7 linked regions of the Oryzias latipes genome follow. The protein of the gene in region 1 interacts with the protein of each later gene in a pairwise test. Links are inferred from orthologs where the notes say so. Each region holds a gene or a part of one and is shown in the gene's direction. Other genes may lie near its edges.

What was found.
Region 2: the proteins of lmo2 (region 1) and tal2 interact in a two-hybrid assay, tested with the Homo sapiens proteins (2 studies listed by BioGRID and IntAct). The link is inferred for Oryzias latipes from reciprocal best matches to the Homo sapiens genes LMO2 and TAL2.
Region 3: the proteins of lmo2 (region 1) and hnrnpm interact in binary tests that used the Homo sapiens proteins (3 or more experiments, as listed by UniProt). The link is inferred for Oryzias latipes from reciprocal best matches to the Homo sapiens genes LMO2 and HNRNPM.
Region 4: the proteins of lmo2 (region 1) and thrombospondin type-1 domain-containing protein 4 interact in binary tests that used the Homo sapiens proteins (3 or more experiments, as listed by UniProt). The two-hybrid records come from large-scale screens. The link is inferred for Oryzias latipes from reciprocal best matches to the Homo sapiens genes LMO2 and ADAMTSL4.
Region 5: the proteins of lmo2 (region 1) and ift43 interact in binary tests that used the Homo sapiens proteins (3 or more experiments, as listed by UniProt). The two-hybrid records come from large-scale screens. The link is inferred for Oryzias latipes from reciprocal best matches to the Homo sapiens genes LMO2 and IFT43.
Region 6: the proteins of lmo2 (region 1) and prkg1 interact in binary tests that used the Homo sapiens proteins (3 or more experiments, as listed by UniProt). The two-hybrid records come from large-scale screens. The link is inferred for Oryzias latipes from reciprocal best matches to the Homo sapiens genes LMO2 and PRKG1.
Region 7: the proteins of lmo2 (region 1) and signal transducer and activator of transcription 1-alpha/beta interact in a two-hybrid assay, tested with the Homo sapiens proteins (2 studies listed by BioGRID and IntAct). The two-hybrid records come from large-scale screens. The link is inferred for Oryzias latipes from reciprocal best matches to the Homo sapiens genes LMO2 and STAT1.

What each region holds. Positions count from the first base shown.
Region 1 is NC_019864.2:14,855,688-14,859,739, reverse strand, and holds the start of lmo2 (rhombotin-2), read left to right. Parts: upstream 1-1,252; 5' UTR 1,253-1,718; coding exon 1,719-1,759; intron 1,760-3,081; coding exon 3,082-3,297; intron 3,298-3,475; coding exon 3,476-3,701; 3' UTR 3,702-4,052. UniProt on the Homo sapiens protein: Acts with TAL1/SCL to regulate red blood cell development. Also acts with LDB1 to maintain erythroid precursors in an immature state.
Region 2 is NC_019867.2:1,963,492-1,966,750, reverse strand, and holds tal2 (T-cell acute lymphocytic leukemia protein 2), read left to right. Parts: upstream 1-1,216; 5' UTR 1,217-1,307; exon of another isoform or gene 1,308-1,505; 5' UTR 1,506-1,580; exon of another isoform or gene 1,581-1,615; intron 1,616-1,734; exon of another isoform or gene 1,735-1,908; 5' UTR 1,909-1,912; coding exon 1,913-2,251; 3' UTR 2,252-2,759; downstream 2,760-3,259.
Region 3 is NC_019862.2:8,453,058-8,457,157, reverse strand, and holds the start of hnrnpm (heterogeneous nuclear ribonucleoprotein M), read left to right. Parts: upstream 1-1,300; 5' UTR 1,301-1,430; coding exon 1,431-1,501; intron 1,502-2,128; coding exon 2,129-2,310; intron 2,311-3,656; coding exon 3,657-3,709; intron 3,710-4,100. UniProt on the Homo sapiens protein: Pre-mRNA binding protein in vivo, binds avidly to poly(G) and poly(U) RNA homopolymers in vitro. Involved in splicing.
Region 4 is NC_019874.2:19,008,227-19,012,201, forward strand, and holds the start of thrombospondin type-1 domain-containing protein 4, read left to right. Parts: upstream 1-1,175; 5' UTR 1,176-1,465; coding exon 1,466-1,488; intron 1,489-2,750; coding exon 2,751-2,814; intron 2,815-3,975. UniProt on the Homo sapiens protein: Positive regulation of apoptosis. May facilitate FBN1 microfibril biogenesis.
Region 5 is NC_019880.2:13,343,686-13,346,185, forward strand, and holds the end of ift43 (intraflagellar transport protein 43 homolog), read left to right. Parts: intron 1-348; coding exon 349-421; intron 422-1,109; coding exon 1,110-1,185; intron 1,186-1,293; coding exon 1,294-1,356; intron 1,357-1,620; coding exon 1,621-1,722; 3' UTR 1,723-2,000; downstream 2,001-2,500. UniProt on the Homo sapiens protein: As a component of IFT complex A (IFT-A), a complex required for retrograde ciliary transport and entry into cilia of G protein-coupled receptors (GPCRs), it is involved in ciliogenesis.
Region 6 is NC_019873.2:20,229,321-20,232,820, forward strand, and holds part of prkg1 (cGMP-dependent protein kinase 1), read left to right. Parts: intron 1-962; coding exon 963-1,040; intron 1,041-2,204; coding exon 2,205-2,299; intron 2,300-3,500. UniProt on the Homo sapiens protein: Serine/threonine protein kinase that acts as a key mediator of the nitric oxide (NO)/cGMP signaling pathway. GMP binding activates PRKG1, which phosphorylates serines and threonines on many cellular proteins.
Region 7 is NC_019860.2:3,984,223-3,987,722, reverse strand, and holds part of signal transducer and activator of transcription 1-alpha/beta, read left to right. Parts: coding exon 1-23; intron 24-1,519; coding exon 1,520-1,708; intron 1,709-1,783; coding exon 1,784-1,859; intron 1,860-1,937; coding exon 1,938-2,034; intron 2,035-2,480; coding exon 2,481-2,519; intron 2,520-3,500. UniProt on the Homo sapiens protein: Signal transducer and transcription activator that mediates cellular responses to interferons (IFNs), cytokine KITLG/SCF and other cytokines and other growth factors.

The sequences.
Region 1 (4,052 bases):
TAGTCTCCGTTAGTCTGTTAAATTAGTTTAGCAGTGATGTTTTTCTGTGGACTCACATGTTTGCTTATATGTTTTTCAACAGTTCCTAGGAAAGCTAAATGTCAAATGCTTTGACATTTGTCAAATGCTCTTAGTCTTTCACAACCTCTTGTAGTGAAAGAGATCAAGTTAATAGTAGTAATAAAAAGTTAGCTTTTTCTGGGGTGTTTTTTTTTGTGTGTCTCTTTCGGGGTCACGGGGCTGCCGGAGCCTATCCCGGCCACTTGTGGGCAAAGGCAGGGGACATCTTTATATGCGCTGGCCTTTATTAAATAAATAAATATAAATAAATATAAATATAAATCCTGGACAGGTCGCCAGTCAGTTGCAGGGCCTCAATCACACACTCACACCTAGGGGCAATTTAGAGTAACCAATGAAATGTTTATGATGTGGGAGGAAGCCGGAGTCCGGAGAGAAAACCCACGCATGCATGGGAAAAACATGCAAACTCCACACAGAAAGGTCCCCCATTGGTGTTCTGTTTCAGGTCCCCCAGCCGGGACTTGAACTGGGGGCCCTTCTTGCTGCAACCAAGAGCACTAACCACTGTTCCCCCCCAAAAGGGTAGTTACAGTTCTGATAAATTTATTTTCATCTTTATGTTACCCTCACTTAATCAAAAATATAATATAGTAAAGTAACTCAGATGGTCTGGCAATTGTTTTTTCTTTAATGTCATAACCAGGGCTCTGTAGATCAGCTTCTCTGCAGCAAGATCTTGTTCTCCTGTTTTTCCAATTCTGTACAGTAATGATGCCACATTTATTTAACACAACATTAACCGAATAGGGGATAATTCCGATAAAGCAAAAAATAAAGTTCAGAAAAAATATGGTTTTGAGATAAAATATGACACATGTAAACATCTGATTCTATATAGCAAATTACACCTTTAATCCACATTTTATACTAAATTGAATGAAAATATATTATGAATTGTCACCCCCCCCCCCCCCCATTTCACACATTATATATTAAACATTTTAATAAACAGTTCAAACTGTTTGTTGGGTTTTTTCACTATTTACTTTCTATTGAACTGTTTTTCGTTTTGGATCCAGCTCTCTGTTCTGTCCTAATAACTTTCTCTACATGATGATGGAGCTGCGGGCCAGGACACTTGTCTGCTGACATCACGACGTTGGTTATCTTTGCTCCATCAGCGCCTCAGGGGGAGAGAATTTCCCCTCACGTCAGTGTCGGTCACGACTCCGCTCCACGCCTGACAGAGCAGCCGGCGCGAACTTCTGTCGCTTTAAGACCGATTTCCCCCCATTGTCAGGCAGTCGTGAACAGGAAAAAGAGCAGTCAGTCACAGAATGGGGTGGGGGGTCATCCGCACGTTTAAGGCAGCTCCAGTCTAACCCCCCCTGGCCTGTGAGCGAATCCGCGGTGTCCTGGATGGCGTGGAGGTGCCAGCGCGCGCGTCAGCCCCAGGAAATGATGACAGCGTCCTCCATCGCCGCTCTGCTGACTAGAACAATCGGCCTTTTTGGTTATTCCTCCGCGAACATCTCGACTGAAGTCATCTTCCTGAATCAGGTCGTGCAGGGGGGATCTGGGCGCCGGTAGAGGCAGGTGCAGCGGCTGCGCAGGAGCTTCCCGGGACGCCGCAGAGAGACTAGAGGCTGTGGAGTCCGAACCCCGGAGCTGAGGCGCAGCGCATCTGGAGAAGAATGGTATCCACCATAGAGAGGAAGACGCTGGAGGCCAGCGAGTATGTGCTTTCCTTTTCCAAAGAATGAAGCTCAGGGTTCCTTAAGGCTTTCAAGGACATTGTCATCACAATTTAGAAAGCAACCAAACGGCACGTTATTTTAGGAAAGCAACCTCTGCAGTTAGATTCCACAAACAGAAGGTCTGGAATATGCAAAAGGCTTAGTAAAAAAACTAATCTTCAGGAAAAAACACACTAGACAGCAGTACAATTAACTATGCAGAACGTTAGTTTTACTTAAGAAATCTTATAGCAAAAAACATAATAAAATAAAATCTTGAAACAAGAAGTTCCACAGTAGCATTCTAAAAGGGGGAAAAATGGGTTAAAAAATCTAACTATTAGAGAGAATTACTGAAAACTGATTGTTTTAAAGCCCAATAAGTATTTTTTGTCATAGTTTGAGGCAAATGGTTTGTATTTTTTTTAAACTAATTGCAGTTCATCTTAATTGCAGTGCCAAAAAAACGAGTGTAATAAATGGAAATGACTTATTTTAGAACAAAATGTGAACAAAACCAGAATACGATCTAGCACATTTACTTAGAACATAAATCTAAATGTTTGTTTTGAAATTTAATGACAATAAATGGCAGTCTACATTTAATAAACTAAAAAATAACATCCTAACTGAACCATAAAACACAACAATTTCAGTGCATTTGAGTCATATATTAAGTTTTTATTCTGTTAAGATTTGGAGCAAAATGATTTTGACTCAATTTATTAATAATTTCCTTATTTCTACATACTAGTTCCTAATGAGACATAGGAATGTTTTCCACTGTACAGATTTTAAGAAAATCTTGGAAAGGTGTAGAGCAAAAGACAAATAAAAACAATTTCCAACCAGTTAAAATATCTTGAAAGTCTAAAACCAAGGTTTACAATCAAGTATCTATAAGTATCCCATAGTTTGTAGTGTGAGAAAGGGGAGCAAACAATCTTGTAACAGTACAAAAAAACAAATTGTATTGTATACACTTTCCAAATGTATTAATTTAGTATTTTAATCTGAAATATGCTCCTTCTCCAACCTTGCAGCTCCAAGCTACAAGACAAAAACATAAATAGTAGCATAAACCTTTGCAAATCAGTTGATAAAGATAGAATTTATCGGGGCACTAATAATGACATTTTATAGAATATGTTACTTTCAAAAGAAAATTGTATCAATTGGATAAAATGTGTTTGTTTTTTTTGAGCTAAGAGGAAAATCAAATTAAATTACAATAAATGAAGACTATGATCGATCTTCAGGGAATTCATAGATGATGAAAGTTCAATCCAGTTGTTTTTAATCTTCTTTTCATTTATATCAGGGAGCCGGTGGACGAAGTCCTGCAAATGCCCCCCTCCCTGCTGACATGTGGAGGTTGTCAGCAGAACATCGGGGACAGGTTCTTCCTGAAAGCCATCGAGCAATACTGGCACGAGGACTGCCTGAGCTGCGACCTGTGCGGCTGTCGTCTCGGAGAGGTGGGCCGTCGCCTCTACTACAAGTTGGGAAGAAAACTATGTCGACGGGATTATCTGAGGTTGGTCTGATGTCAATGATTATCTGTTTATTCCCTTATTTGAACAATTTATAAGAAGTATGCAGATCTAATGGGATATTAGGGGAGCACTGTCTTTTATTCTGGTGAGTCAGTTGAATGGAGATGCTGGAATGTCTTCTTGTAACATTGTCTTCCTTATCGATCATGCTCCACTCAGGCTGTTTGGTCAGGACGGTCTGTGTGCTTCCTGTGAAAAGAGGATCCGGGCGTTTGAGATGACTATGCGTGTGCGAGACAAGGTCTACCATCTGGAGTGTTTCAAATGCGCCGCCTGCCAGAAGCACTTCTGTGTGGGTGATCGCTACCTTCTCATCAACTCGGACATTGTCTGTGAGCAGGACATCTTCGAGTGGACTAAGCTCAACAACAGCAATATGGTGTAGCAGAATCTCTGACTGCTTTTCAGGATGGGATGGAACAAACCAATATCGCGTGGGCTCTGAACAGAATCCCTTTTTGCAGCCCGTATGGGTTTTATCGACCAACACATCGGGACTACAATGAACACAATGTAGTGTTGCACCATCCTGTGGAAATAACAACACCAGCAATACGAAAATATTCCCAAATGCAAAAAACGTTTTAAGTACGAAAAATTCTTAAATATGCAAAGAATAGTTTTGAACTTTGTAGAAAAAACAAAACAAACTTTGTTTTAAGGTTGTAAGTTGTTTTTGTCAGGCCTTCATATCTACAAGTGGATTCAAAACTTTAATTAGAAACTGGGTTGTAAT
Region 2 (3,259 bases), on another chromosome or scaffold:
GGAACCGTTACAATTTAAATATAAGTTTTTAAAAGCTACACTTTATTAAAGAAAAGGCGTAGTGGGAACAAAGTGAACGTTTCTAAAGGCTGAAGTGGACATTTTTAGCTCTCGCTGGGTTTCAGTCTGTAAGAAACTATTTCTCCCCCCACTGCCTTTTCTATTCTTCTCTAATGAGAACACATTTTATTTAGAAACATAAAACTACACACAAACATATGCAGAAACATACACTCATGGTTAAAAACTCATTTGATTCTGTTTTAATCTTAATTCCCTTAAAAAAAACTCTTATTTCTGAACAAACATGTACCCCCCCCCCTCCTACAATTTAGTTTATCTTCATAAATATTTACAGGAATATCAGACTTTTTTATATTTTGTGTTTCTATGATTAAAAACAAAACAAACAGGAGAAAATATCTGCAGAAGAAGTGAAAACGGATTAAATTATTAGGGATTATCTGAAAAACGTTGGCATGTGTTGATAATTAACCTCTTCAGACCTACGTACACGGACGCCACATTTTGGGTTCTGTTACCACACTAAGTAAATCTGGGGCCCTGCGACCAAAGGGGGTAAATAAAATAAAGCCAAAAAAACTCAGTTTGAAAGGAAAGAGCTGGGAAATAATGCATGTTATCAACTGAAGGGGACAAAAGCGGAACGAATAAGTGAAATATTAGAAATCGATAGTTTGTGTCAAAGTTGTTGAGGCTGGAAAAGTGCAGCGGCGTCCCGTCTGGAGGCGGAGCGCGGCGTGGCCGGCCCGCAGGTGCAGCCTCTTGGACGCGCAGTGGGGCTGATAAATGGACGGATTCAGAAACCCGGCCCCCATCGGGCCCTGTTCTCCAGACCCGGGGCTAATCCTGGCCCCTAATCGGATTATGTAAATTCCTACTCCACACAGAGACTTTTTTTTTTTTTACAGAAGGCTGCGTCTTTGAAACAACACTTGAAGGCCGTAAAAAGACCACTGACGATTGGTTAAACCAGACTCCTGTTTTTATCTGAGCTTTAAAGTGGTGTTGGGGGGGGGGGGGGGATTTATGTGTGGCCCCTTGAAATGGTTCAACAAGATTACCATAGTCCTGACAAAACGCGCATTGTGGGACTGTCAGTCTGGATGTGGCATTTTTACCTTTTGTGGTCCAATCAGGCGGAGCTGCTGGGACATGAAGGTGTTTTCCTGGAGAAGGTCCACGCCGAACGTCAAAGAGGCAGGAGGGTCCACCGCCGTCACAGACTAACGTCTCAGTTTCACCTCGGGGATTTAAACCACCAATGAATCCTAAATCAGCAGCCGGTACGAAGCGCCTTTCATCATCACACCTCTCGGTGTGTTTCTGGTCCCCGGCGATCAAACTGGGCTGTGCTCTGCACCAAACGGCACAAAGAGGGGAGGCGACGTCACACAATGGAGCGCAGCCTGCTATAAAATGTGGGGCAGAAGCCTCCTCACCCTCACTCCGTCCCTTTGTGTCCCCGTCCTGCCCCTCATTAGGAGGAGGACGTGCATCTGAGAGGACACTCCTGCAGGACCCTCGTTCACTCTTCACGCCGTTCTTCCTCTGAGCAGGTGAGCACTCCTTCCTTCTGCTTCTTCAGGTTCACCTTTGATTCAGAAAAGTAGAGAAACGCATTCCTTTATCTGTCATCAGCATCATTCCAACATCCTGAACTTTTCACGGTAAACATTTCCTGCAGTTTTAGATGTTAAGATCCTCACAAACCTCCAGTAGGAATAAAATGTGCATCAAATGTTTCCAAAATGTTCGTTTGGATGAAGGAATCTGAAGGTTTTGAAGCAGATTAGATCACGTATGAAGCACAGAGTTGCAGTGAAACAGTCATTTTAAACCACGTTTCTAAAAAAATCTGCGTTTTGCCTCCGTGTCTGTGCTCAGCGCCATGACCAGGAAGGTGTTCACCAACACCAGGGAGCGCTGGCGCCAGCACAACGTCAACACGGCCTTCGCGGAGCTCCGGAAGCTCATCCCCACCCATCCTCCCGAGAAGAAGCTGAGCAAGAACGAGATCCTGCGCCTGGCCATGCGCTACATCAACTTCCTGGTGCGGCTGCTGGAGAGCCAGGGCGGCCAGCCGGACGGCCGCTCCCCCACAGCTCTGCTCACCTTCCTCAGAGGAAACATGGAGCAGCTGCGCTCCCCCCCGCCCCGCTGGACCGTCGCCAGCGACACCGAAGCCCCGTCGCCCGGATCCAGCTGCGACAGCTCCGAGGCCTGGTAGAGGTCTGGATGCTGGAGGAAAACACAGATTATGGACCCGAGCCGGGCAGAACCAGACCCGAACCCATGAGGCCAGAGGGAACCTACTGCCATACGTTTTCTGTCACGCCTGAAGGGATTCCGCTTTTCCACGAGGCAGAGTTCTGAGAGAAAAATGAAGGATTTCATCCAGTCCTGCACTCAAACCACGGCGGATCTTCCTCCTTTTCCCTCCGTTACAGCAGCACTTCTCTTCTCCCCAAACTAACTAAATCTGACCTCCTCCTCCTCCTCAAAGATGAAGGTCATTTCACTCCGGACGTCTCCCTGCTCCTTGTTAAGGAGCCGGGGACCCGGCGGTCCTCCTCCATCAAACCACTTTAAGGGTTTTGTCACACGACCAAAGATCCTGAACTGATTGTCCTCCGTCTGAAGCGTCTTCTCTGACCTGCTTGTAAGTTTGGCTCGTTGACAAATAGTCTTATTTATTTCAACTATTTATTTAATAAAGGATTCGTTATGACTTTTTCCAGCTTTGTCACTGCTGTCATTTAGAAACCAAAATGTATAAAAATGTTTATTTTTTCCTTTGGGATGCAAAAAAGGAAGCTTCTCCTGCTGATGACAAACAAAATCTTAAGTTTTGAGGCACAAAAATGATCTGATGTGTGGAAAATAAAATCCCAACACTTTCTCAAATGATTTCTAAAATTCATTCATGTCAAATTATATCTAATTACACAAAAAATTAAAATAACTTCTGGTATTTTATGGTAGAAAAAAGATCTAATGAGAAGGATCCCTGCACTTTCATTAGGTGATGTAGATTTAACTTTATATTTTATATAATGACAGAAAATGTGGAAACGAATATAGCGTTCCACTTGTTTTGCTTTGTGGATGAACTGGGATTCCACGTGGGTCAGAGGTCACGACCCCTGTGTCAGAACTTGCAGAACAGCTGAGAAAAGGACAGAACCCAAAAAAAAACCACGAACGTAAAATGCTAACATGACCACACGAGTTCTGC
Region 3 (4,100 bases), on another chromosome or scaffold:
AACTGCTACTTCATTATTGGGTGAACATACAGGGTTGTGCAGTTGAAGAGCACATGGTTATGAAAGCCATTGTTCCCTGTTGGGAAAGTGGTATTGGGAAAAACAAAAGTGTTGCTTGGAAATTAGCTAGATTAGTGAGAGAAACAAAGATTCATGGTAAAACCATAGTAAAGACGTTTTTGTACCAGGCCACTCCTTTCTGGGGTTTTCCAACCGTGCAAGTGGATTTTTATCTCCACGGGTAGATGGAGAGTAGCAAATGGAAGGGACACTGGGATGAAATCCCAGCAGACAGTTTAGACACGTTACATGCCTCATTTATTCCCATATACACATGGATCTAAAGACCCAGAAACAAAGAGGACTGGTTTTTCTTTCTGTATCCTTACATCGGGGAAATATGTTGGAATCAAAACATCAAAGGATCTTTCAGTTTTTGCAGTTGAAATGTTTGCAATATCATTTAGTTTACACTGGTTAGAACAGAATAGAATTAGAGATGGTATCATTTGTTCAGACTCATTATCAGCATTGATGTCCTTGAAATATTTTTCTTCCGATAGAAGGTCAGATCGAATGTATAAGATTTATGAGAGTTTATTCAGGTTGGAAGAATTGAAGATAAGCATCAGATTTAAGTGGGTACCAGCACATAGGGGGTTGGAGGGAAATTAAATGGCTGATTTTCTGGCAAAATGGGCGTTGAAACGGGCGACAGAGATGGAAATTCCTTTAGGCAGAACGGAGATTAGGGCGATTATTAGGAGGCGTATTTTGGAAGAATGGCAGGTACAATGGGAAACGGAGAGGAAAGGTCGACATCTATTCAGTATTCAAGACAAAGTAGGGAAAGGTATGAATATCAGAGTAAACACCAGAGATCACGGCATAATATCACAATTGAGGATAGCACACACTGCTCTAAATAATACATTACATCTGATAGGGGGAAATCCAACTGGTTTGTGTGATTGCAGGAAAGGGGAAGAATCAGTGGAGCACGTTTTGTGTCATTGTGAATTGAATGGGGAAGAAAGAAGAAAGCTGGAGAAGAGTCCGGTTGCCAGAGGGTGAACGGCTGAGTTTGAAGAAGCTTTTGGGAGGGGAGGAAAATTTAAATGGTGCATTATAGGTTTTTTGAGCAGAACCAGATAATTGAGGAGAATATAGTTTTGTTTATTTATTTATTTTTTAAAGTTAGGTAGTCCCCCACGCCGATCCATACTCCAATACGGTAGGTGGCGGTAATGCACCTTGTTGTTGGTGCCTCCCGCCATTTAAACCATGAGAAGAAGAAGAAGATTTTTTTTATAGTAGGGCAGTCGTCCGCCATTTTCAGCACAGCGACTAGGGAATCGTTTCTGTTGTTCGATTCTAAAAGCAGTTTGCTGCGTAATTGTTTTTGGTAAGGCACACTTTTCCCAGTGAAAATGTCTAACGAGCAGGCCGAAATCACGATCGAGAATGCGAGCCAGGAGCAGCAGCAGGAGCAGCAGCAGGGGTGAGCCCGAATGCCTTTGTTGTAAGAAGCTAGCAAGACCGACTAACGTCGTTAGCAGAAATGGTACTCCGTCTTAATAACCCATGCAAACGACTGGCCAAAGATCGGATACTGCATAAAATAAAACACATGCTACAGTCGGTTATTTCATATACATTTATTTAAACGCGTGTTTTTGTGTTGCTGCGAAGCTTTTGTTAGAACGGGGGAGGAGTAGGGCCCACTTTACTTTGAGACTGGCTCGCGGCCTAACCATGTGGTTGAAGCGCAGCCTTTCAAGCCGTTACAAGTTCCAGTACTTAAATATATTAACAAGCACATTTGAAAAGTTTGCATTTGCGTGCTTTAAGTTGTTTTTTAAACTATAAAACTATGTAGAAGTTTTGGTATAAATAAAATATTATAACGGCTGTTAGCAATCCACGCTCCATGATGATGATGATCATGCACCGAAGACTAGCCTTGTTTTTGCATCTTTTTACCCTGCTATTATGTTGAAGAAAGACGAATAATGCCTAAAATAGTTACTAATGTATTGTAATTTAAACACTTATTGTTTAATATGTTTTATTCACTTAGCAATGTGTGTAAAAAAAGGTTTTTTGACTATTAACTTTTCTAATTTAGAGAAATGAATGGAAAAGCCAATTCTGACTCCAACCAAAGCAGGAAGGAGAGACCCCAGAAGAGGGGCGGAGGAGGCCGATATGAACCCTACGGCAACATAAACAAACGATACCGTGTGGTTGTCAGCAACATTCCCTATGATGTGAAATGGCAAACCCTTAAAGACCTGATGAAAGAGAAAGGTAAGGTTTTCAGATGGGGTGCTGGCTCATGCCAGCTCATAAGTTAGGGTAAGCATCCACGATTTTAGTGTTTGGATGCTGCAGCTTTGAAGGATTGGGAAAACAGTGTTTTGAGAATTTGGTGAGTTACTCGGAACAAAGGTTCAGGATTATGCCTCTTGTCCACCAACTCAGGTGTTGCTGCAGAATTGTACAAAGGTGGTGAATCAGGATGTTCAATTGAACATGCAACCCATTCTGACCATTCTTTAATCAGGTTTTTTGTGGAGAACGAGGCCACTAGTGTGAAAATCTGGATTTGATCAACAAGGACTTATTTTTCTATGAATTGCAACCTGTAACGACCAGTAAAGCTTAAAAATGCACCGTTTTTGAGAGATGTGACCTTTTAAATGTCCTGCTCGGCAGCAACTTTGAATTGTGAAAAGATGACTTTAAATCTGTTTATAAAAGAGTTGTTGCCTGTAGTCAAAGGAGTGCTGGATCATCATTGGTGTCATCGATAATCCAACGAAGTGAAGCAATCCTCGTGTTGACCAAGCGCTTTTAACTTGTTTATTGATAATTGTTTGTAGAGTAAATTGCATTCTCTTTTTTTAGGTGTGACTTGGACAAGCAAATGTTACTCATCAGATCCCCATGTTGTGGCAAACACAGCTTTGTGCTGTGGATGATTTTTGGGGTACAGGTCTACAAAATAAAGCAACTTCTTTTGTACTGTCCTTCTCCTCAGAGGTTTGGTGACTCTTGCCAATGTCCTATAAATACAAGCGATCCCCAAAAAAGTGTGGCTGTGGTAGATGCTGAACTAAAATTCAGACTTTATTTACTCTTATCTTTGCTTTAGTAGGTCATTTATAGCTTGTAGTTAAAAGAATGGTCCTTTTCCGCAGGGCTTGCTATCAAGAATATTGTCCATTTTGGGGGTCAAAAACATGGCGCTGCCAGTTAAAGTATGCTCAGGTTTGCAATGAAATGGGTGGAGGCTTTGTTCATCACGATTTTTGTCAATTTTCTTCATGTATTAGGTGGTTGTCAAGGTAGCATATCGAAACAGTTGGCCAATTTAGCAGTTGGTGTCCACAGTCTATTGTTTTTTGGTGTCTTGGTAGAACTACAGCGGGTGAAAAGGACAGACTAAGAAGTTTTAAGTTGTTTTCTTTAAAGAACCAAGCTTGCTTTTTGTAGACCTGTACCAAATTGTGTTGCTGAGGTGCTGGGGGAAGCTCAGGACTTGCAGTCTGAGCTCAGTCACCGGCCGTCCTCCTTGTTTCTGCTCTAAACCCCCATTGTTCTCTCGGCTTCTCTCCCCTTGGTGTGTGTCGTCTCTGGAATCTGATTTGTAGTGGGTGAGGTAACGTACGTGGAACACTTAATGGACGCAGAAGGCAAATCGAGGGTAAGTGCAAATACATACAAATAAAATATACAAGCCCAGACAAACTCTTGTTTGTCAGTTTTGGTTTCCTTGTTTACATTCCCGGGAATTGTTCAGATAGAAACTTGGTTGATTTTTGTCAGTTGGAGACATGTTGGAAGTGTTTTACTCGGTCTTAATCGTGGCACTGACTTGATGCAAACCTCAAGGGTTGATACTCTTGAAAACTGACTTGAGCTTTTCTCGAATTCAGTCCTGTGGGTTGCAGAAGTTGACAATGTCCCTACTGGTTCCTGGATATGCTCCTTGTGACCTTAAGGGTTTTAATCTGGAAGAGGTTGTTATAAAGTTGCTAGATGGTTGTTAAGCATAATGCCTTTTGTATAACTGGAATGTTACTGCTCCAGTACCA
Region 4 (3,975 bases), on another chromosome or scaffold:
GTATTTATTATATGTTATGGTTACTGCCACCACACCTGATCTCTCCTCCAATTTAGGTCCTACGCCACCAATTCCTGAGGGGCTGTAAGCTAGCAGCACAGCGGGTAAACAAAGGGATGATGGGAAAGGAGGGCAGGCTTACTCTGCACCAACAGTGCCGCCCACAACTCAGAGGTGAATTTCTGAATGATTCCTGCTGCTTTGCAGAAACTATGTCCTAGAAAATGACACGTGTTTTTTTTTTTAAATTCAGCCTAAAACGGCCTAATCATGATTAAAAGACTAAGGAGACTTCAATATAAAATTAAGCATTTTGGAGTAATTTCTTAAAACATGTCATCTTTCAAATATTACATTGATGCCAGTCCTGATTTGAGTGAACAGTATAAACTCCATAAAGGCTTGTGTGCATCCTGAGCCTTTTCCTTCAAACTGAGTTACGTTTTATTGGTTTAGAAATCACCAGCCCTTTCTTGTACACGTGCCGCTGGAGAAATCTTGTAAAGAACCTATAATTTTTTCCTGTGTGTGTGTGTGTGTGTGTCACCATGTCTCCTGAGGGTCATTTGACCTAAGTTACTCATTTTAGTAAAGTGTCTGGCTGGGCAGGGCTGTGTGGATTGTCATTTCATCATGTTTAAATGAGATGGCATCAGATGGTTTTTCACATCTGTTTCAGCCCTCACACACACACATATGTAATCATACACACTCAGAGAGGCACATTTCAGCCTCAGAAGTGGCTTGTCTCCTGGGTGCACTTATCCCAAACACCAAATTGCTGAAGCATGTTTGGTTTCTGGTGTTTCAATGGGATTAAACAGTGCACAGAATGCATGTTTTTCTCATGTAAAAATATCTGCTTGTTTTTCAAGAATGGGGGGGGGGGGGACTATGAATCATATTCAAACTGTAAACCACATCATTTGAGCTTGTCAGAGTGTCAGACTCATGAGATAGTCCCTTCCCAACTTTCTTGAAGAAGGCTCAGGATCGTCTGCGCTCATTATTATTCAGTGTGGGAGAAAACGCACAAGGAAACGTTATTTTTTCTTTCTCGATTGTGCAACTAAAACGAGGCTCTGAGGATTATTATTGCTTAGTCAGGACCAACAGTTTGTGAGTATGACAGAGAGAGAGGGTAGGAAGGCGTGAGGGAGAGGAGGGGGAGTGTATAATTTGTGCATGTGAGAGTGAGAAGGAGCCCGAGCGAGAGTTGTATAATCTGTCCATTTTGTGTCTCCCCTCTCCCTGCGTCTCTTTGTGCCCCCACCTGGTTTTCATGCGTCACGGGAGTTTATAATAAGGAAGGACCTGTGAAAAGTTGTGGACTGAACGGAACACACGGAACTCCTCCCGGTGACAGAGCAGGAGCAGTCCTCGCATGTCTTTCAGGCTGGAACGAAGCTCAGATTTGGACCCAAAGCATCACTGAGAGTGTCAGTGTGCAGGAGAATTTTGGAGCATGCAGCTCGGTTCACTGATCAGGTAAAAGTCGGTCCCGTCCAGCTGCTGACTGATTCTTGTCGCCGCATGTGGATTTGCATCTTTCCTTGAGTGTTTGTGCTGACTGTCTCTACGGTGGTTTTGTTGGTGCGGGAAACTTTTACGCGCGAGGCTCACTTGTTGCGCGCCGCTCGCTGCGTTAAATGGTTGGAATTTACCCAGAGGCGCGCATTTTTGAGTAAAAACTGTGTGTTTCCACTCAAATTGGACTTTTCTGAAAGTATTTGTCAGTTAAAGGTTTCTCTCACCCTCTCCCTGTCCTCTCAGTGAGTTTACTCTGCAGTAGCGGCCGTGGAAACGTGGAACCGCGTAGGGGGTCGTTATTTCGGCCTGAGCAGCTCTGTTGTGTCGGGCTGTCCGGGACTTTTCTCTGTGTTTTTCGGGGGTAATTGTGTATTGCAGCGTGGGGAAGCTTCCAGAGACCGCGGCGGTGCACCACATTGGGTAAAACGAACCAATTACACTGCCTACATGTGGCTTGCGGACTGGAGATTGCGGTGATGGTTTGGTTCTCTTGGTGAGCGCTGCAAACTTTATCCCAGCGAGCCCGGCTGTACTTGCACGGTCAGAGCAATTTCTTGGCAGACTGCAGGACGTTATTCCACTTGTTTCCACTGCACTTGTCTCAGAATGTTTGTGTATGGGTGAGATTTTTCTAAATAGATCCGACATTCGCACACAAACAAGTGAGCTTTTGACACTTCTACAGAAAAAGAAAAAACTTAATTTTCTCTTAGAGTTATCCCAATTCCTGACCTCCCTGCAGGAAAACCGTCCTACCCCAGATTGTTTTCGATGTTGGCTCATTAAGCCTGTGTGTGGTTATTGCATATTAGTGTTAAAACCACATCCTCCGGGTGTGTGCAGAGGGAAAACACGCAAGTGCTTGTAAGCACTTCCAAGAGTTTCCCAGATTGATTGAGACGTTTGAACCCCGAGGTCATCGTGAGATTTGTCATCACTTTTCCCGACAAACACCTTTCCATTCAGGTGAAACAGGTTATTTAGTGAATGGAACATTCCTATACCTCAGCTAAATAATGTAAATTGAAGGAAAATATTTGAGACAGATCACATAGGCTTAGAATAATGAGAGTCTTATGTGTGAACGTGAATGGCTTCTAGCTGCACTTTTAGGTCATGGAGTACTGATGTGCTTTAGAAAAAGAACCCCATTCAGCTGCTGTCATTTTTAATCCTGTGATTCTGCCACTTCTCTCCCCCTCTGTTCTGCATCCCTCCAGGCTCTGTGTGCTGTTGGCTTCTGTGGAGGTCACAACCTCCACAACCAAAGCTGCCAAGAGGAAGGTGAGTCATTAGATCATCCAGTTAGGTCAACACATGACTGAAAAGTCAGGTTGACACCCCCCCCTCTCCCTTTCTGTGTGTCCCAAAGCATGAGACCAGAACAGAGAAAGTTAGAAATAACCTTTTTCTTATCGTTATCCTCTCCTGGAGACCAAATACTGTCATGCTTTGATGAGCTATTTAACCCGGTGACAGTAAATGTTACTGATTGCTCAAACAGGGATTAAGGCAAAATCATGCAAAGGGGCGTGCACTGCTGGAGGGTGTGTTATTTAAGTCGAAGCAACAGATAAAGTGATTTTAAGGCTTATCTGGCACCAAAATGTCGCGCACACACCAGCAGAAACTCTTTTACCTTAAAATATGCTGTCATGAGACAATCACCAGGTTCTGTTTTGGTTGAGTGGCAGAGACAAGACTTTGCCAAATGATGTAATGCTACGTAAAAGTCTAGTTGACCTTTTTTTAATCGCTGTAATCATTCATTGCTGGATCTCATTGTAGAGACGCTTAAATCCTTTTAAAGGCAAGAGGGTTTGAGAAGCCTTTTTTGCTCAGGAAAACAAAATATAAATTATACCATCATAGTTAAAATAATTAAAATTTAATCTAAAGCCATATTATTTAATCCATCACTCAAAAACAGTAGTGAAAGCTTCTTTTCCAATGAAAAGTTATGTGTCTGCTCATGTTAAAAGTCACCTTTTTTTTTAATAAATTGTGATGCGTGTGTTTATGGCAAAGTTCAAAGGACCTCCAGATTTATGAATACAATAAGTATCTTGTAAAAAGTTTTAGGAGCAGACCAAAATAGCACCTCAGTGGTGCTGCAGAAGTTAAAGTGGTGGCTGCAGAGGTTAGCAGTGGTTGCTGCAGGGTCACTGCTCACAGCTCATTAATGCTCCCAGTTATGTGGCAGCTGCAGGTTAGATGCCACCTGAGACATGGACTTGGACTTAAAAACTCGAACTTCAGTATCGCCTGCAGAAACTTGAGGCAGAAACAGATAAGCAAGTGGACAAAGTTTATCTGTTTTTTTTCCTCTTTTTTTTTTTAGCTCCAGGACATCAATGTCAGAAAAAATAAATGAAAACTGTCTTTACACAGCGTTTGCACACCACTGGCTGTTATTGTGTCCCCACAAGTTGTTTAAAGTAGTTT
Region 5 (2,500 bases), on another chromosome or scaffold:
CCTGGGGGTTGTGGCGCTGACAGGGCCCAAATGCTAAGGTAGTGGGGGGGGGGCTTTCTGGGGGAGCCCCTGGCCAGCACCCCACCCCCCACCCCCCATCACAGCAGGATGAGCTGCTGCCCGGCCTGCTGAATATTCATAGCCGCATGGCTATTGTGACAGGTCAGCTCTTATGAGGCAGTGAGAGAAAAGAAAGTGTCACACAGCGTAGATGACATGCAGACCCACACACCTCCAGCAGCCTCACGCTGGATAAGCAGTGTGCTTCAATAACTATTTATGCATTGATAAGCATTGACTTTATTCTTGACGCTTTTCCAGATACAATCATATTGCTTCTGTTTTTAGATATTCCTGTGATTCCGGACCTTGATGAAGTGCAGGAGGAAGATCTGACGATGCAGGTTGCTGTTCCACCAAGGTGCTCCTTAAAGTCACCCCCCCCCCAACCACTTTAGATTCAAATAAATATGAACTGTTCGTCCCAGACAGGCGGGTGACAGTTAACCCTTGACCGTGCCCGGGATACTTATAAGCAGGCTGCTGTGGGGACTGTGATGTCGCAGTGCGCCTTGCTTTATGTGTCTGAAATAGAGAAATAACAGTTTGATGTGATTTATGCAACTCCGTTTCCAGGCCCCGTACTACCCAGGTCCTCTGATTTACAGGGCAGTGAGAGACACGGCGACATGTGTCGACAGTGTAGCAAGGCTATGACAGTGGTGGAGGTTATTAGGCTGGGGCTTGCTCTCTGTGAGAGATAATATCCACATTGAACTCATTGCAGGGGCAATGTAGCGTATAATGTGCAGTAAGTAGGACTGGCATGCGCTGCTAGGTCCCGGCCACTTTCAGAGCCCCCCCCCCCACTTAATTTCAACCCACTGATAAGCAGCTGGGTTTCAATTTGAAGCGTTTAACAGTTGGCAACCATCTTTTTCTCTCTGTGGTCTTTGCTTGAAGTCCTGAAGCTTATTTCAGAGGAAACCTCAAACTTATCTGAAGATATTTCTCAGATTTGTATCAGATAAAGTGAAGGCATAATTATTTTGGTACTCTTCTTTTCTGGCTTACTTTTCTTCATTGTTCTGACTTCTTTGTACTCTCAGCATCCACGTGAGCCAGGTGATGACCTACAGAGATCTGGACAACGATCTCAAGCATTACTCTGCTTTCCAAACTTTAGTAAGTCATGGCGTTTGGGTTCATTCATTTTTCAAGATGGCCTCTTCAGCTCTGTGATGCTCATCAGTTACTGAAAATCAGGAACTTTTTACATCTCTCCTTCTTCAGGATGGAGAGATCGACTTGAAGCTTCTCACTAAGGTTTTAGCCCCAGAGCAGGAGGTGAAAGAGGTGAGAATATTTTTTTTTCTTTTTTAGTAAATATAGCTCCTGAGCTCCACATAAAGAACTGCCCAGCTGTTCTGAAAGCACCAGTGGAGGCTGCCACTCTTGTCTCTCAGGTAATCAAGATTTATGATGTGTACATTAACAACCTCTGCTCCCCCCCACCCCCATTCTCCTCTCCTTGCTCTCTGCTTTTCCTTCTTGGTGTGCTTCCCTCTGCTTCCTACACTCCTGCTCTCGGCCTCTGTTCTGTTCCTCCTTGCTCTTCAGGATGATGTGAGCTGGGACTGGGATCATCTGTTTACAGAGGTGTCCTCGGAGCTGCTGATTGAATGGGATCAAGGAGAGAGCAGCGAACCAGGCTTGAAGTGACTTTGGATCCTTTAATTAAAGTTTATTTTACTACTTCTTTACACAGAGTTGTATTTTTATAAATGTCTTTAAACAGTTTTGTTGCCTAACTTTTTTTGTATATAAACCCACAAGGTTTTGAATTGTTTGTTAAAAATAGCAGTCACAGATAAACATGCCCTCTCTGTACCGACAACATTATCAACAGCAACATACAAGTCCAAGGTTGATAATCAGCTAAGCTGAAATCCACTTGATTGTGTTTAAATTAACATTCCTCATTAAAGCCTACAACCTTATTGTTATTGACTCTGCCATTGACTTTATCTTGCAGCTCTTCGACAGGAACAGCCCCTTCTTCACTATTATCTCAAATGCATTGAACAGAGTTCCGATTGACACCTGAGGGATTAACATACATTATACTTTTTTTACTGAATCAAGAGAATGTGAAATCTTTCTCAAAGTAGCGAGCAAATTCTACACAGGCCTGTTGAAGCACAGAGTGCAGACTGCGTTTGCTCTAATTCCCTTCAGTCATTTGTGGTTTGTTAAATATGTTGCATGTCGTGCTTCAGGCGTGCTGATTGCATGTATCAACATTCAATCTTGTCTTTGGTTCATGCGTCTGAATATAAATGCGGACCTCCAAAGTCCAGGAAGGTCTATGAGGAAATGGTTGTAACATTTACAGATGTGTGATTAAGTTTATTTCAGTGGCAGAGATCAGTCTGGTGGCATTTGGAGATGCACAGCGAAGCCCTCAAGGACACAATGTACGCATCCAACAGCTCAATCA
Region 6 (3,500 bases), on another chromosome or scaffold:
ATTAATGGTGCTGTGACATTCTTAGGAGAAAAAGTGTGATGTGGCATTTGAACCACACAATTCACGAAAAAGAAATTCTTTGATTAAGCGGTCACCAAATTACTTTCTGTACGGTTTACATTTAACACATTTCCTGCCTCAATTCAGGTGATAAATGAAATGGCAAATGTTAACCTCTGTGAAAATCTAGTTTCCGGTCTGAAGTAAGTTTTATCATGCAGGAGGATCAAATTGAAAGCTTTTTGCTGGAAAACCCAAACTGACACGATACTTTGTGAACCTCATGATTGTTTCTTAAACACACTGAGCCACTTGCCTCTTTCTTTTCCACAGTTTATTTTGATCATTGCATTATAAGATGTCACATCTGACATGTTTAGTCTCTTTATCCATCAAAACATTTACCCTTTAGCTTGGTTCATCGTTAAAAAACTGCTTAAAGTGGTGGTTCTGACTAAAAAGCAGGTGCATTCAGTTTCCATTAGTTTGTATGTCATTCCTGTGCTTGAATGATGAGTCAAGAGCCCGTTGCATGCTGTGTTACATTCCACTGCCCTCAACCCTTAGCAGAAGTGCTGTGGGTGTAAAAAACACATTTATGGATGGATATCCTCTGTTTATGTATTCTTGCGACTGACCTCTCTTTTTCCTTTTATAGTAGATGCAAAAACATTCGTTTATTTATTTATTTTGTACCTGATTCCTCACATTAAAAGGTTGCAGTGCATACCAAAGCAAGCAGTGGGCGGAAAGCAGCAACACAGCTTTCAACCAGACAACGAGTCTAGTTATGCTGTATTGCATTGCTCTAGTCTAGATCATCTTAACTCCCCTCATAAAAGTGTTTAGACACTGCCTTACATGCTAGGTGAGAAAAAGGGTAAAACAACCACAATGAGCATAAATAACATTTCCCTTCTTTGGTCTTGCCCCCCCCCCCCCCTTTTTTTTTTTTCTGCCAGACGCACTATGCAGGAGGAGAGTACATCATCAGACAGGGAGCCAGAGGAGACACCTTCTTCATTATCAGCAAAGGAAAGGTGAGGACAGCCCCGTGAGGCTGCAACCTCGATATAATCCTCATCGGAAGGCAAGGCATCGTGTCACATGAAAATGCCTGTCTTTAAAAGCAAAGAGGTGGCATTTTTAGCTGTCATCAATCACCGAGCGATAGAGGAGAAGCACATCCTCTTTCATCATTCCTTACAGCAGCAGTGGGAGTTTCTAGAAAGCAGAATGGTGTCACTTTGATTTTCCTTTTCAGTAATCAACACTGGCTTTTTCACTGAGCACAGTACTGTCTAGAAGTCACATCACCGCCTGTGGGCTTTCACATGTATTTCACACCACGATGGTTGCCAGTATTCTTTCTTTCTTCTAGCTTTTCTTGAATTCAGCAATTTTTTTTCCACCCCGCACATCAAGCAAGAACGTATTTTTCATTTTTCATTTTATAGGGACATGCTTATCGACGACAAACAGCTGTTCTTTCTGCTGGTAGTCCCTCTGAGCCTCAAAAGGCAGAAGTTGTGGGAAACTAACATTGGAAGTGTGGAGGGAAAAAAAAAAAAACTTCAACTTATTTTTAAATCCAAACAGAAAAAAAATTCACAAGCTGTCAAATCCTTTGACTCAGGTCACTTCATAGCCCAGAGCAAACAGATTAGCTCATAAATACCTGGACTGAGACATGAATGTCCGGACTTTACCGATGTTGCCTACTTCAGTAGTAGATTTACTCTGCAGCAAATCTTCCTTTTTTATTTTTTATGTTTTTTTTCCCCTGCTGTTACTTGATCGTACAGAATCGCTGTTAATTTTGTTGTCACTCAGCTGCGTGTCATTTTTGTATGCTGGCGGTGGACTTCCTGCTACACCTAATGGCTTAAGACAAGATCCTTCATTGGGCGAAGGGGTAATCTCATCCACTTCTTCGAAAATATGCTCAAGTGTCATTCCTTTGATTTGTAGAGTCTTGGGGCACAGCAGAGGGCCGTCACTCGCGTGTAATCTCCCTAATGAAGTGGTCAAGCGTTTGCTCAGGTCCTGCACAGTAATGACTCTTATCTGTTTGTAACAGACTCTGCTCAGGAATGTCTGCCACCTCTGTGTGCAATTCAATTCACTCTGTTTTTACCTCATCCTCTCGAAGCCACGCTTGTCTTTTCTTTAACTTTCCACCCGCATTGCCCTTTTCTTTTCAGGTTAATGTGACCAGAGAAGACTTGCCAAATGGAGAGCCTGTCTACCTCCGCAGCCTTGGGAAGGGAGACTGGTTTGGAGAGAAAGCACTGCAAGGGTGAGATCTCTTGAAATACCTACGCTTCCGATCCTATGAATTTCAATTTAGTATATTTACCTATTCTGTTAAATATCTTCTACTTCAAACTACTAAGTAGGGAGCCATATAACATTTGGTAAGTGACGCTGACTATTAAATGAGTTCATAAGTGTGTCAAACCAAAACTTCTGCACTAAAAAGAGGTTAACTGAGTGTTCTTGCACTATAGATTTGTTAGAATAAAAATTATGCCATAAATTTGAAGCTGAATGCTCATGTATTTTTATTCCCATTAGTACAAACAACTATAAGAGTTTAGCGTCAATCCCTTTTGCATGAGAGAAAAACAAAAGACAGAATTAATGAGAAACTAAAAAAAAAGGCAATAGTGATCCCTCACAGCCACAGTAACATCTGTGGTTTTTGCCTATATTTATTTCTAGCAGACAAGAAACTAGAGGCAAGAAGTCACTTAATGTGACAGAAATGTTGCATTTGTGTACCCATTGGAACCTCATTTCATTTGGTGAAACACGTCTTTTGTCTTTTCTTCTCAGTTCATTTCTTGGATGCCAAAGCTTTGAGAGCAAAAAACCTTTCAACCTAATCCTCAGCTGCTTTAATTAATTTTTTGCCTCCTTCCTCCATAAACAATTATATGAAATGCTGCATGTTTCTGGCGTTGCAGAAGAATTAGATTAAATGTGTGCAAAATTAAACATGATTTTCAATTATCCTTTCATAAAAAGCATGTGTTTTTAGAAAAACAGACCCTAAATCAGAAAAAGCTGAAATATGACCAAATTCTGGATGTTTTAGAACATGACGACAGAACTTAAACATGTAGGTAAGCTGGTCTGCTTTTGTTTCTTCAGTAAAAAAAAACAATAAACAAGAAAAGTCATCTTATTGGACACTGAAGGACACAATACAGTAAACCACTTGATTTCCTCAATAAAAAACATTATATTGTTTTCTGAGAAGGTTCAAAACGCATTAAAAAGCTAATTAAAAACATTTGAGCTCTGAATATCTGGACTCTGCTCCTTTCAAAATTGCTTCAACATGCAGTAATTTAGGACACCTGCTCCAAAGCATTTTTAGGATCATCTGTAGAGTATTAAGTCATCTTTAAATTGCTTTCAGCATCAAAGACGAGCACCCAAAAAAACACATTTTCCTCCTTTTCATGCCATTTGTCCGCTTCTTTGCAGCTCCT
Region 7 (3,500 bases), on another chromosome or scaffold:
CTGGATCGAGCACGACATCCACGGTGAGCGCCGCAGTCACAGAACCTCACGCGACCACCAGCAAGATGAGACAGGCTGCAGGTTTAAGGAGTTTTAGCCTTCATTTTCATTCTCCCGTTTCCAAACAAGTGAACGAAGCTTCAATCTGTCAAATATGTGTTGACCGCTAGCAACTTTAGCATTCTTTGACCCTGACAGGATTTCTTTAACAAGAAAAACATTCATGTTTTTAATTTTTGACATACAGTAATCAGTTCACTTATCAGATTAAATGTTTTGCAGTCAAGAGGCAAAAGAAAAACCAAACAAACACATTTTCTAGCTGTAGTGGTTGTTTTTGGAAGTAGCATTTCATTTAGCATAGCTAGCTTTGTTCAAAATGAATTAGCTTTCTTTAAGCTACAGAAATGTAACATTTCTTATTTGAGGTATTTAAACTTTATTTTGGCTTAATGATAAAATAGCATAATTAGCTTTTCTATTATTAGTCTTTTTTATTTTTTGTCAGATTTTTATTTTTATTATGTTGAAATATTTCAAGCTAGGTTAGCATTCAGCTTTCACGTGACATTTTTACTACTGTTTAGGATTTAAATGTTGCCACTATACACAATTTACATGACTTTTTATACCATTAATGAGTTAAATTAGAATTTAATATTTTCTTTATTGCTTTTTCCCCGATTAGCTGTTAGTCTATGTTAGCTGTGGTTTCTTTCTGATAGAGAGAGAGATGTACACTACTTTAATAATTCACATTAAAATAAAGACACACTTTACATGAAAATAAAATAAAATAAAGGCATAGATAGATAGATAGATAGATAGATAGATAGATGCATACATTTTTTAGTATTTTTTATTGTTTTTTTTTAGTCAAACTTCTTAAAGATTATGTTTAGCCTAAAAGGCAGGTTTTTTTAAAACAGGTTAAGCTAATTTAGCATTTGGCTAATCTGTAGCATCAATTGTTCTTGAGCATTTTACAGCTTTTTTGAAAAAAAATTCTTCTGTATTTTTTTTAGCTTGATGAAAATATAGCATCATTAACTTTTCTGTTATAAGTTTTTTAAGTTTTAGCAAAGTTTTTTTTTTTTAACACTATCCCACGTAGACTTTATTTGAATATTTAAACACGATGAGGGTAAAGAGGTTTTAAGGTTCTTTATTTATGTTTGTTACAATTAGTGGTTAGCCTGTGTTAGCAGGCGTGCTGTTACCTATGCTAATACCCTACAAGTTGCAGGTTGAATCGCAGGTGCTGAACAATATGGATGTGTAAAGAGACCGAGCTAAAGTAACACATTGTTTAGTAAATAACATCCAAGAAGGTTCTCAAGTCACCTGCATTTGAAAACACCTCCCACATCATTATACCACCACCACCAGCCTAAAACATTGATATAAGCATGATGGATCCCCACTTTTGAGTTTTACATGAAATTCTGGCCCAAACACCTACAAGTTAAGGTGGAATCAGGCGATTCTTTAGTTTATCCGTTTTCTTCCGTCCCTCCAGACAAGCCGATTTTCCACTCCGTTGAGCCGTACACCAAGAAGGAGCTGACTGCTGTTTCGCTGCCCGACATCATTCGCACCTACAAGGTGATGGCGGCCGAGAACATTCCAGAGAACCCGCTGCGCTTCCTCTACCCCGCCATCCCCAAAGACAAGGCTTTTGGGAAATACTACCCCAAACCCCCAGAGCGTAAGACACGCTAGCGGATCCGTCGCGCCCTCATTTCTGAGCGCAGACTTTCACGTCTGTCCCTTCCTCTTTTAGCTCAAGAGCCCATGGACGTGGAGAGCTCGCAGCCCAGTGGCTACATGAAGACAGAGCTCATATCCGTTTCAGAAGTGTAAGCGCCGACTGCAAACGCCTTCAGAAGTTACTGACACACGTGCTTCTAACAAACCGCTTCCTCCACCTGGTTCAGACCGCCGTCCAGGCTGCAAGACAACATCATGCCCATGTCTCCGGACGACTACAAGGCACTGGAGCAGTTTGTGGGCCACAGAGACATCGATGCTGTGGTAAGACAAGATACACATCCAGTTCTGTTCACAGTAAGAACGATAAACCCACCACATTATTATTATTTTCATCCCTAAACTGCTTCAAAAGTGCAGAAATTTCTCCTTTCACGTCAATGGATTTTCAAAATAAAAGCTTTTAACGTTTGATGAACACTGTAGGAAAATAGCATTTTGTGGTTTAAAAAAATCACTGTCCAAACAAAACAAAAAAAACTTAAAACACAAATTCTTTCCCATAGAAAAAGGGACCCCAATTTGCTAAAAAGTCACCAGTATAAATAGCATTTTAAGATTTGCAGATAAAGTACTGTTTAGTATTTGAAAATATGGACTAAAAGAGGAAGAAAGATGAAAAAAGTGTTAAGAAAATCACGTTTTTTTTAATGATTCTTAGTCTGTTCAACTGCAAACTTTCTGTCTTTCTCTCCTTGTCGCGCTCTCAGACCAACAATCTGATGGACTTTGGAGGGTTTGACGCTCAGGTACACCCCCAGAGTTGATGGTTCACTCCTTGTACTAACTGTCAGACTCCTTGCACTCCTTTATTTATTAGCATGCCTCTCTAGTTTAGTCAATGCACGGCATTAATGCATGACGCACAATATTTGCTAGTTTGTTGATTTATCCATCTGATCAGAAATGAGAGGATGGGCTCAATTTCTGTAGCTGTTCTAGGAATTTCCAAAGCAATAACCAACGTTAAGTTGAAGCTGCCTGAAATAAAGAAAAAAAAACAATATTCCTGTATTAATGTAAAAAAATATCTGTTGCAGACCTAAAGCAACCCTGATCTGTCTCCTTGCTAGCATGGCCTGCGCTAAAAATGAAACGCAATAAAAATGAGTATTTAGACAAAAAATACCTGTTAGTAATACAAAAAATATTCAATCTTTAAAAAGAAGATAAACATAAGAACAGATTAAAGGCTCCAGATTATGGGTAAATGCTAGAATTGAGGGTGAAAATATATTAATATTAATGAAGAGAACAACGGCTTTGCGCAACACTTGACCAACGTAAAGTAACAGAAAGTCGCTTCCCTCTTCGTGAATCCATCGTAATTACGTTATTTGTGTAAACAGTCAAAAACGTTATCATAGTTCGTTTAGGTGTCGTTTAGGGTCAGATGTTACTCTAGCCTTGACGTTCTTTGAACTACCGTACCTGGCGCTGATATGCGGCATTTTACAGTATTGTAGCCTTTACGCAATTACCGTAAACCAGCTAATTCTGACGCGGAAAATGTTTTGCGTTGTTTATGCAGACGTTTATTTCTTTATGTCGCATATCAGCATAAAGCCTCTTTTTATCCATTGGAATTACGATAATTGTGTAAATGGTTGCAGTAGTTCATAGAACGTGTTATTTTGCTGTCGGCAGAGTTAAAATGCTAAAATTACGAGATTTAAAGCTAAGTGCTAAACTAGATACAAATATTTTATTTTGGACAAAACATTAGCGAA